Neodiprion lecontei: one gene and its partner. The protein of the gene in region 1 purifies or fractionates together with the protein of each later gene. This does not show direct contact. Links are inferred from orthologs where the notes say so. Each region holds a gene or a part of one and is shown on either strand. Other genes may lie near its edges.

Region 1 (6,134 bases):
CCGTGCGTGTGGAACCAGAACAAAGTCCGAGTTACGGGAAAATGAAAGTGGGTACCCAGTAACAAACGTATTTCTTTTTGAAGTAACGAAATCATAAATAAATTCGGAAATTCAGGAATTGGAATCCAATATATTAAGTGACTCGATCTGCTACACGTAGAAAGTCATTACACTTTTTTGTAGTGCGGTTTACTTTACACACTAAACCAAAAACTAATAATAGCTGGAATGAAGTACTTCGTTCTACGCTTCGGTGTTCCCATAATATGCCGAATTTCTGATTTTGACAGCCATATATCGCTCAGTCCCGTACTTATCTTGGATCCCAATTACGAGTTGTGAAATTATTAAATATTTCAATATGAACTGTTCAGGTGGTTCATAACTATGGTCATGGAGGGTACGGTGTGTGCACTGCACCGGGTACAGCTAAATATGCTGTTCATTGGGCAAAGGAATTTCAAATATCTTCGTCAAAGCTCTAAATTGTATGCTTCAATAAATAACAATGGACAGGATTTTATGAAGTAGAATTAGTGTCGGTTCATTGTTAATTTTAATAATAATTGTTCTACAAAAAATATATAAGAATCACACAATACTATGTGGCTTTTTCGAATGTAATTCTCAACCCTAACTCTAAAGTGTGTACTATGTATGTTTAACAATAATAAGCGTATACGATGGTAAATTGTTTTTCCTTCATGTCTATGATCTAAATACAAAAACTAGATATAACTTAAAATTATACACATAGAGTTCATGGGTAAAATATAATATTACAACGATACAGGAAATGAATTTTCCTTACTTGAAATTTGTTGCATTTTTTCCATTAAGATCTATAAATTTCTTCACATAAACTGCACTTTACCACAATTTTTTAATACACAGTAACGAAGTTTTCACGCAACAAACTACGGGCATGAAATAATTAGGAAATTCTTTAACGTACAGCGATAACACTGATACAATCAAATCGCACAAAATGTATCGTAATATATTCATATAGTAAATTACATGTTTCCCTTTTTACTTTCGTACATTCGTCATTCATACTCTCTCAACGCTTCAGTATGTAATTTAGAGGTAGCAATTTGAACTATCTTGCCGATTTTCAGTGATCTGACTCAACTGCACAAAGTCGACATAATTCCGTAGCAAACTAATGGATATATCAACTATTACATAAATAAAAAATGTAATGTTCGTTGATACACATAGATTTTGTTTGTTGATAAATTACAGCTGATAAATTGAATCATCCTCAAATGCTGTAACACTCTCATGATACGGAACAAAATAATTTATGTACCAGGATGATAGTGCTATTGTTAATTTTAGTTCGACTATCGTAATTTGCCGTCAACTGTATTCATTTCTTTCCTGGTTTTATATTTTTACGCGGTGGTGCCCCCCATCGTAGGGAGCTCGAGTCAACTGTCAAACGAGGTCGCTTAAACTGGCTGCTTTTGATATGTTCTTCAACCAATTTTGGGGTCACGCAAATTACGTGCTGTCCTTTCCAGTACTTCACCATATTCATGCTTTGGAGTGTTGAAATAATGTCAGTCTGTGAGATGCTAGTCATTTGACTGTAACAATATTATGTGTTTCATTCACTATAAGTTACACTTAGATTTCAAGTATTAAGCAAATCGACATAAACTAATAAAATATAAAATGTAAATTTTATACCTCAAATCTTTGATGCTGAGTGTTCCTCTGAAATCTCTTAATATCTCCAGGAGAATCCAACTCCAGTAGCTCCTGTACGAAAGCTTTCCTAAATCACTGAGAGGCTTTTCGGGGCTTCCAACAGTTTGCTCGATCCTGCTCAATTCATAACTGAATGCGATGAGCAGCTTCCCATATCCTTGTCGTTGAAACGGGGGCAGAGTTAGAATGCAAGCAACATTATTTCCATCCGGCGATTCTTTTTCCTGAATGAAAGTTTTTGTTTTATTGCTAGAGGACAAGCGAAGCTGACTTCACTGTGGTAAAAATAATATTTTTGTTTGAGAATTAATACCTTCGAAAAGTAACCAACTAAATGAGCTCCATGTTTATCCACTTCGCAGAGAATATAGAATAGAAAAGGCTCAACATCGAAATACAATGTTTTGTGATCCAGAAATAATTTGGCCAACAAACAGAGATTCTGGCAGTATATCTTGTGCTCTCTTCCATCAACCTCCCAGATACTCAGAGTACCTTTGCGATATATTTCTTTGCCAACAGGCTGCCTGTGAGTACATTCGCTCTGAAAATCAATTAAAATGTAAATATGCAAACTGTGCACGCAACGTTGAACGTGGTAACGTTAGCGTAACAAAGTATATTTTTAAAACAGTGTTTGGTAAATTTAGAATCAGGTAGTTTTCAAGAGAGTTGTAAAATTAGTATGACTGACGTTATGATTGATGGCTGATTGTATTTCGGAGAATTATAATCTGACAATAGAGGCATTTTTTGAAAAGCACTTTCTCACATTGACTTTAGAAGTTTTAACGTTGTGTGCATACATGTTCAATGAATTTCAACTAAATTAGATTAATTACCATGTGGTATCTGTAAGTTTTCTCGAGCCTCATATATTTCAGACAGTATTCACATATCCATAACTTTGGCTGTTTACCATATTCTTCAGGGTATGGGCTGAAGTACCACGTGTCTATTTCATATCGCCCTGAAAAAATGAGTTTCAGCATAACAATAGAGGTAAGGCACAAGAAAAAATTCCATTAAAGTACTTATAAACATAAGCTGAGGAGATTTTATGAAATGTTAAGTTTTCTATTGTTTTACGAATAATTTACAAAAATCTACAAATATTTTGTAAAGTAACATTTAAAGCTGACCTATTTGTATCCTGTCAATATATTTCACTTTCGTTATGGCCTCATGTTCTTTCTCCAAGGCAGCAGTAGTTGGATCCATTTCTGCGTAGGTCTATTATATACATGGGCATTACAGAGCCGATAATATCTTCCACTAAATAGTTCATTCTGTGCTAAATAAATGAAATTAACAGCTATACCCACTTTCTGTATATGATTTATTTCGTCGTGTCGCCTCTTCTGATTTCGCGTTATTTTCCTGTCCGATGAATCTGCTAACAAATCACTAGCTGGATTCCTGTCGCTATTCTTCCAGCTCTGATCGCTCATGTCAAATCTGCTAGACATTATCCTGTCTCTAGGTACCCACTCGTCCAATCTTCTATTATATCCTTCATAGTGCACGTAGTATTCATAATGGCCTTCCCCCTCATTATATCTCGTTTGAATGATTTCCGCCGGATCTGTAATTGTGCCGTTAGTGTTGAATGAAACGTGACGATTGTAGCTTTTGTTTACCAATGTAAGTAAACACTATTTGAACGCCTGAAAGTGAAATTCAACTTTTCGCAAGTATAGGTAGAACAAAATATGCCAAAAGTCCGGACACACGTAGATGCATGTTGTCTGATATGTGCTGATCGTACGTCTGGCGTCCGGAGCATAGTCCGAAGACGCGTTATAGTCCTCCTGTTATAACCTACTTCACAATCTGAAGTACTCACGCCATGAATCATCCGACCTACGGACCAAGTAGTGTTCCCCGATGTCCAAGGGCTGCTCCTCGAGACTATCCGCGTCATCACCAGATCCTTTACCACCGTTCGTTGAATTGTTCTCACGATTTTCCGGCTTTACCCCCGATTCTTTCGCGCTCGAACTATCTTTACCCTTGTGGTCAGTGTCCGCCATTTTAATAACAATTCACGAATTCAACAGTAAAACAAGACTCCTGGAGCTGGCGCCACCATTACTAGTGCCACCAGTGTCATCGAAAAAATTAGAGACGAAAGGACGGACAGAAAACTTGTATATTTTCCGTGTTTCTTTAGTATTAGCGCTATCTGCCGCCATATAGATTTTTACAATATTTAGGACTGATTTTCGATTGTCCTCGATCGTAAGCGCATGTTGGAAATCTTCGGCTCGAGACCGACCCGCATTTGCCATAATGAAAGCAGCGTATAATGCAGAGCGCATTTAAAATGGCGAATGATTATAGTAGGAGTTGAGGTTTGAGAATGAACAAATGGCAAACATCAGCAAACTTCAACCGTTGACTAAGGATATGTATCCTCAGCAAACGCTTCAAAGGCCAGAGTCATTCGCTGATGAGTAATTTCCAATCCTCAATTCGCTCTCCACTGTTCACACTGCTTTCTTGATGGAAATAGGAGTCGATTACCGTGGTTACCGACGGTACCGACACTACACTACCACCAATATTAGTTCCGACAACCTCGTTCGCGCCAGAGAGCGCCAGTTTCGGTCGAAAACTGGCCACCGTCGCAGAATCGAACACATAGTTTAAAATTCGGCCGCTAATGTCGCACTGTAACAAACGACAGTCGTATATCTTCAGTCGCCGTTGCCGGTTGCCGAGAGGTTGGCTGACGTCACGACGCATGTTCCGTCCTTGTTCCGAGCTATTGAATATTCGAATGACAGAGAGACAGGTGGTGGTGGTGGTGTAGCCGTGTAGGCAGTGAGTAAAGAACATTGAGAAGCGGAGGTGTGGTTTAGTGTACGGGATTCTGTGAGATTGATGCACCGCTACGCATACATGTACATATAATCTACCGTTCGGTTATCAACGACGACGCGTGAGACGGTTTGTGCATCAGAATTCACAATTGAATACTAAATCCTGGTAAATCCTAAAGTGACATGTGCGCGTGCTGGTTCATACACCGTTGTGTTTAGGTGTGATTGCAGTCAAGTTTTATAATGTCTACCGCCGATTCTATTGATTTTTACAAGATATTTAGCTGCGTAAGAAAAGGTGAGTCTTCCCCCCCCCCCCCCCCCCGAAACCCTTTTCAATTTTTTCATGCTACAACTTGTGCGTGCGTATAATGCACCGCACCTGCAATATTACAAGATAGTCAACGCCGTTTGTTCACGTGCGTTAAATTGTGATAGTCATGCATGAACCTCGCACGCGATGCATCTCGGTCTTACGTAGACGTTCTTTTGTCCGAATCAGGCGTCTTTTTTTTCGACCCTTTCTGTACCTACATATACGTAGGTATATTCTTGTAACTATTATCGTTACTCGAAAACGATAAAGCTGACCATAATCGCACGCCGTAATACGCACGGTACGTAGAAACGAAGATTCTCATTCTCGTGGAGGGAGTTCAGAGTCGAGATCGATCGTCGAATGGAATCTCGTACAACTTTTTCATCTCCTGTTTGATATTCGGGACGAAAAACGGCTTCAATTGTAATGCCAATCAGCCGCGTTCCCAATGACGCGCGTACGGATAAAACGACGCGTTGATATCTTCCGAAACTAATAATCCAATTCTTACATACCCCCTGTACGCATACGTGGAGCTTTTTACACACTCTGAATAGAGGCTAATCCAATTACTGGTATACCTACGCGAGGTCACCACAAACGTGTGACGAAATACGAAACACGTTTATCATTTATATTTATGTGTCGTACCGCATCTACAGCTGACTTGGTTTTCTAATGATTATAATATACCGTATGAGTTAGGTCCCACATTTGTTTATTATCAAATCGATTTGCAAGAATACTTTTCAAACAATGCCTTGAGATTCCAACGAGTAAATACCACAATGTCGGGGCTTGTTTCGAAAGTCTTTAATTTCTTAATCAAATTTTACAGATTATGGCTAATTTTCATTGAGCATTCAACGTGTCTACTTTAGAGATGATATTACAATTTTGTGTAAAGAAGAGGCGATAAATTTTTCGAAGTCGGAAATTCGCGATCATAATTATAGTAACAATAATAATGTACGTACAGTGTAGATCAATGATAAATGAGATGGTGGAAAGAGGGTGGGAAATATTGTTGGGAAGAAAGAAAATGAAGAAAAATTGCTGAATTTGTTTTTACAGCTTATTTAAGAGATCATCCGGACACGTCTGGTTGTTCGCCGGGAGGATTTTTATTTTTGTGAGTAAATATGTATGTGCCTAAATGATGAAACCCACGTTGAAAAAAACACGTGTATTAACAATCTGAGGTGGAAGGGATAAATGCAATTTATACTTCGTATGCTATAATAATTTCGCGGTTTTTTTTTTTTTTTTTG
Region 2 (5,810 bases), on another chromosome or scaffold:
TGGCTGAGTTCGTGAAGGACCCAACTATCAAGCGTAGTATTAAGGTCGATGCTCTGAAGGCTGTTGGTACTAAAGCTAGTCTAAACCAGGCCACCACCAATTTATTATCTTTACTTGCGGAGAATGGGCGCCTGAAGAACATTAATGGGGTTGTCCATGCCTTCAAAGTTATCATGGCAGCAAACCGAGGAGAGGTAGTCTGCGAAGTTACCACTGCGAAGCCATTAGACGCAGAGACCAAGAACAAATTGGAAGCCACTCTTAAAGGATTCCTCAAACAGGGACAGACCATTCTTCTTACAACTAAACTTGATCCAGCCATTATTGGAGGCATGGTTGTTTCTATTGGAGACAAATATGTCGACATGAGTGTTGCCAGCAAAGTTAAAAAATATTCTGACATCATCAGGGCTGCTGTGTAATCATCTCCTGACCCTATTTGGGCCATAAACGTCTTCTCTTCGTGTAGTTGAATACAACTATGTTGTACAATACGGTTAATCGCAATAAATGAAACAAGTTAACGATATGATACCCGGAGTGTTGATAAAATTTATTTTGCATTGGTTGATACGTTAACAATAGTGAATAGTACCTCAAATTTCCTAATTAGAGTCACCATTCAGTTTCGCAGGTATATGTCATACTGGAGGTTAGATTATATTTTTAAAAAAGTTGTAGAAAATTAAAGTAGATTTATATCTTTCAAATTTTCTTGGGCCACTATAAATTCACAGTCTGTTGCAGGGGTACATTCTCTGCTTGTGTGTAAAATTGTTCACCGAACCATTCTCGATGCATTTCCAGGAAACTGCAATTTTCAAAAGGATTCATTGAAGGACCATTACGAACTAAATTTTTGCTACGTATCTACATCTCTATTGCAAATCTATACACTTACCTTAGAAACATATCTAAGTGCTTCAAAAGTGTCTTCAGTTTTTTTTCAGGCATGTCCGCAGCTTGTAATAAGTCAGGCAGTTTCACTGGAATGAAACGAATTAAATTTATAAAAAAAAGTATATACCTAATATGTTTAGTATTACCATTTTACACTCCATTCGGTACGAAGCAGTCTTTATGTCAATATGCAGTGAATACGATTTTAGTTCATAGTACAACAGCGGACAGAGATAGATACATACCAAAAAGTCGTGTCAGATGAATCGCACCATAATACATAGATGGAGCCAAAGGACTTTGACGCTTCGCAGATTCAGGTACTAAGCGCCACGCATTTGATTGTTGAAGTAAAGCGCCAATTTGCGCTGACGGAATTATTGGTAGTCTTAAAGGCAAGCCACGAGGACTAGAACATCGTGAGCTTGTACTAGCTATGCTAGGGTGAGAAAAAGAATTTTTTTAATTTTTTGATGAATTCCATTGTCAAAGAGAAATGGGCAATTTCAACAATATGCAGCTTCTTAGGAACTTGACTAATACATTGTATATCATACATTGTTAAATTTGGCAATGGCGAAGGGAAATTAACTGCAGCACCTCGACAAATTGCCTGGTTCTTGTTTAACTTCATCATAAGAGCGAAGTTGTCTTCCTTCATCCATAGAGCTCACTCTACAGGATCGCAATCTACGCTTAGACTCGACAGGCGGTTTGGGTGATGAGTTGTCAAGTTCAGATTCATGCTCTCTGAACGGTGGTAAATGAGCAAATTCTGTATCTTCAAGTTCTTCTTTGATTGTGACATTCTGATCTGCATTACTGGAACACAAAGTGAACTACTAGTCAAGTAATAGATATAAATATCTGATGTGGGCAAATCGGCAGTTACTGGAAAACATTGCAATTAATGCGAGTCACCCTATTGAAACCGCACATGTAAATTTAATAACACATACGTACTCAAAGGACTCTTCTTTAAGAGGAGGTGCAAGATCAACGTATTGATAGGATGATCGAAAGCTTTCGTACTGTTCCTTTTCTTCTCTATACAACAGAAGGTCAGCTAATGTAAAGTCAAAGTAAATCCTCAATCCGTCTGCGACTTCTCTAGAGATATTAACATCGCTAACACTTTTTTCAATGGTATGATTTGATTTGTTTCGTTGGGGTTTGTCGGAAATATTTGTTAACTGGGTAGTAGTAAAGTGTTGCACCCATGTTTCCAAAATATTTAATACTGTTGGCTGAGCTGGCAATACAGCAATCTGAAAAATATGTGTAAATTTAATCAAAACAGTGAGGCTAAATAAAATCGTTAAATTACCTATGATCAAGGAAACTTAACGAAATGTCAACAACTAGCTGTATACGAGACATACCTTATTTTTATGAGTTATGAGATCATGATCTTGTTCTAATAAGCGTTTCAAGGTAGCACCAATATCAAGATCTATTCCTGGTCGATGACTTCCACCAGAGTGACTTCCACCTCCACTTTCATCGCCTCCGCTACTGTCATCACCATACTCCGAACTACTTTCTGTATCTTCCTCTGTTGCAGCCTCCTATTGAAAAACAAACAGAGTGATTATAATTGTAAATTGAATAACTCGTAATATAGAGCTCCAAAGTCCAGGCTAACGTAAAGCCAATGAAAAAATATACAGGGATTTAAGTTTTCGACTAATGTCGATAAAAAACAGTTAAAATTTTGTGTGTTGTATGGGCAGAGGGTAAAGGTGGCGAATAGTATAATACACGTCATACTTCGGTATCATAATCATCGTGTTGACCAGAACTGCCATCTTCGGAAGATCCGGTAGTTGCTGATGTCGCACGGCTACCGCCACTCCTGGCCCTGCGCCCAGGCTCCGGTCCCGATCCTACTGAACGTTCCGACAGTTTGTGGCTGCGTTTTTTGCGCTCTCTTCGGTACAGATATGCACCTCTTTGAAACATAAGTTTTTAGTCAAGTAAAAGCCAAATACATTCAAAATTAGATGTTCCTGTCCAAAAAATAGATTACTTCATTCACATTCAAAGGTACACCAGATCGTTAGATTAGGTCATTTTGATATTGCTTACAGTTAACTCTTCCTAAAAAGTGATAAGTTTTTGCTGAACTTTTTTTGGTAACAGACTTATTAACTTTGTTCTCACAGTTGAAGTTGGGCTTTTTGGGCAAGGTCTCTCTGTAGCTGGCGATTTTCTTCCGTATCCTTCAGAACATATTCTTCTGTGACGCATCGATCCCAAGACGAATTCCATCCCTATTTTAAGAATAACTTTTATTCATACAATCAGTATTCAAACTCAGATATATAGGTAATTGATTTTGAAATAAGAATCTTTATTTCACTAATGAATGTTGAACATCTGGTGTAATTAATCCTTTCAGTTAAGATGAAATTGAATAATAGCCAGTCAGTAATTACATCTATAAAGATGTATTTTTTCATTACCTGAAAATGTACCAGATATTCTACTGCTTTGCGACCTCGTTGATCTTTATTGACGATCACATCTAACACCTGAGACAAAAATGTTCGATTAAAAGTAATTGCTGTTAATCAAGCAGGATTAAATAATCAGTATATCATCTCCAAATTACCAATTTGACAATAGTGTATGTAATGCCACATGTAATTAGATTATCGAATTTCAGAATATTAGAATAGTCAAAACCTGGCAACCCACATATGTTAACAATCATCTGAACTCAAACTAAATTGTCCCATACAATGAGAGATTATCGTTCTGGCACTGCTATCATAAATAAACAAATACTCGATGTTGGTGTCGCAGTGTCCAATAGTGAAGGAAGTAAGGCCGAGCTTAAATATTTGTCACCCTATTATTCATCCTGCTGATGTTCAATGTCAAATATTGTCACCCTGCTCTAAATAGAGGTTGTACTTAGGCAGAATAACAAAACTTTCGTGCTTTTTTTTCCGTTCAAACTAAGGCATGAATAATAATCTCATCTGTTGATACCTTCGAGTCGTAGAGGACTTTAGCCTTTGTTGGATCTGGTTCATAACACAACACTTTTTCACCGTCAGAAAATTTGAACCTAGGACCTCTTGTTGACACCATCGTCGACTCACAGTGCGACTTGAAGCGTCCGCCGAGGTTCTCAAGTTTCGTTGATGCTGATTGTCAGTGATTCCCATTCTTTCATATATGCCTGCAGAAATTCTTCGCTAGTCATACAGCTTTCGGTTGTAAAGAGGTGATCCGACTCGCGCTGGACGCTGTGATTATTTCACTAAAGTAGTCTGTAGGTGTCGCATGCGGGTAAGAGCCACCACCCGCGAAAATTTCAAGCATATTTCGGAACAGTTTGTATTCACGCAAAAGTTAAAGCAACGGTTAATGTCACATGCAATCCGTCAAGAACACTTTTTAAATAAACTGTCGTCTTTGGAAATGCCAAACAACAATACCAGTGTTTCTAAATGCCGACACCCGTGTTGGCGTAGAGTACACATTAGCACTTTCCCATTACATTGTATTGTAATAACCGTTGCTTCAGTCATCGAGTCAACGTAGTAACGGGCAAACGGGGCAATTGTGAATTGTGCCTGAACAAATAAACATTCCGTGAGCCGAAATAAAATTGCCATCAGGCACGAATTATAGATATAGGAAAAATGCGTTCTCTTCATGTTTTCTTATTCTTGCATCGTGACAACTAAGCATATACGTGAAACGTGCAAAGCATTCAGGAAAGCAACGCCATTATTGTTTATATTCTGGCTTTTCGTCACATGAGACGCCTGGCGGAGAGCCAGGAGACCTTGTCAAATAATCACAGAGCTTTACACGTGGAAGCACCTCCTACATTATTATACCGTGGTTAAGGCTTTAGATAGAGGGTGACAGGGTGTAAATCTTCTATAAATTATCATGTAAATCCATTCTTATGGAATGTAAAAGATGCATTATTGTCTGTGCAGTTGAACGAATTCTAAAATGTGGTTCTTTTACGTGTTAAGTTGGGTTTCCTTATTCGTACAAATATGTTTTGTTACGATTTCCACAGGTACTGTGTTAGATGCGTATTTTTTATAACTTATGTTTATTTTGCTGTACTGTGAATAAAGAGGTTAACCGGGGTCCCAAGGTTTATTTCAAATTTGCTATCATTCTACTGACAAAGTCAGGCAGATTAACTGATTCTAAAATATATTTTTAAACAAACTACCTGACCGAATAATTCAGCTACTGCCTGATTCATTTCTATTAACCAAAAATGGGATTTCAAATTAGTCATACAGTTTTAGAATCTGTACAAAGCCTAAATAAATATTACATAAATTACGTAACTTTTAATTTATTAGGTACAGAATAAGTATTTAAAGAATTCAAAGTTTTTCTAAAGTCTAATAATGCATTTCAATATTTTTCAGCTGCCGGATTGTACTATTTAGCGGAATTAGTTGAGGAATATACCGTTCTGTCCAAAAAAATAATAAGAGGTGTCATACTTGTAAGTTGCGGATGCATTTTCGTAATAAACTTTTTGAGCAGCCTAATCTGCGATTCCTTAGAGAAATCAGTCAGAGCATTTGTTTCGTTTATTACATTATAATTTGTGGAATTTGGTGAAATTTTAGGTCACATTCGGAATTCATATTGGGTTCTTATTATTTGAAAACCTGCCAACGAGTATGGTAATATGTGGAATCATCGCCCAAGTAGCACACTTCTGTATACTAAAAACGTTTCCGTACGTCCAGATCATCTCGCCACTGTTCATCATCTCGATAATCATGCTAGTGGTTAACCATTACCTGGCATTCACATACTTTGCATCTGTCCACTACAGTTTTTCAGAGGTATGCAATTCGATTAATGGTCTTGCAAGAATCTATTATTTCTTACAACGTGGGTTAAATCTTATG

The links. The genes of interacting proteins can lie anywhere in the genome.
Region 2: the proteins of histone acetyltransferase KAT8 (region 1) and male-specific lethal 3 homolog purify together in Homo sapiens (affinity purification with mass spectrometry; 4 studies listed by BioGRID and IntAct, with this or other methods). This does not show direct contact. The link is inferred for Neodiprion lecontei from reciprocal best matches to the Homo sapiens genes KAT8 and MSL3.

Annotation. Positions count from the first base shown.
Region 1 is NC_060260.1:7,854,708-7,860,841, reverse strand, and holds histone acetyltransferase KAT8, read right to left. Parts: upstream 4,259-6,134; 5' UTR 3,753-4,258; coding exon 3,566-3,752; intron 3,305-3,565; coding exon 3,045-3,304; intron 2,953-3,044; coding exon 2,862-2,952; intron 2,690-2,861; coding exon 2,562-2,689; intron 2,264-2,561; coding exon 2,033-2,263; intron 1,944-2,032; coding exon 1,699-1,943; intron 1,596-1,698; coding exon 1,376-1,595; 3' UTR 540-1,375; downstream 1-539. Other genes in the region: D-amino-acid oxidase, read left to right, coding at 1-47, 375-485.
Region 2 is NC_060263.1:31,054,389-31,060,198, forward strand, and holds male-specific lethal 3 homolog, read right to left. Parts: upstream 4,117-5,810; 5' UTR 4,000-4,116; coding exon 3,898-3,999; intron 3,759-3,897; exon of another isoform or gene 3,617-3,758; coding exon of another isoform or gene 3,515-3,616; intron 3,435-3,514; coding exon 3,366-3,434; intron 3,174-3,365; coding exon 3,064-3,173; intron 2,852-3,063; coding exon 2,671-2,851; intron 2,469-2,670; coding exon 2,283-2,468; intron 2,169-2,282; coding exon 1,864-2,168; intron 1,723-1,863; coding exon 1,501-1,722; intron 1,340-1,500; coding exon 1,146-1,339; intron 987-1,145; coding exon 902-986; intron 812-901; coding exon 724-811; 3' UTR 531-723; downstream 1-530. Other genes in the region: ATP synthase subunit O, mitochondrial, read left to right, coding at 1-422; protein TEX261, read left to right, coding at 4,879-4,948, 5,316-5,395, 5,523-5,744. UniProt on the Homo sapiens protein: Non-catalytic component of the MSL histone acetyltransferase complex, a multiprotein complex that mediates the majority of histone H4 acetylation at 'Lys-16' (H4K16ac), an epigenetic mark that prevents chromatin compaction.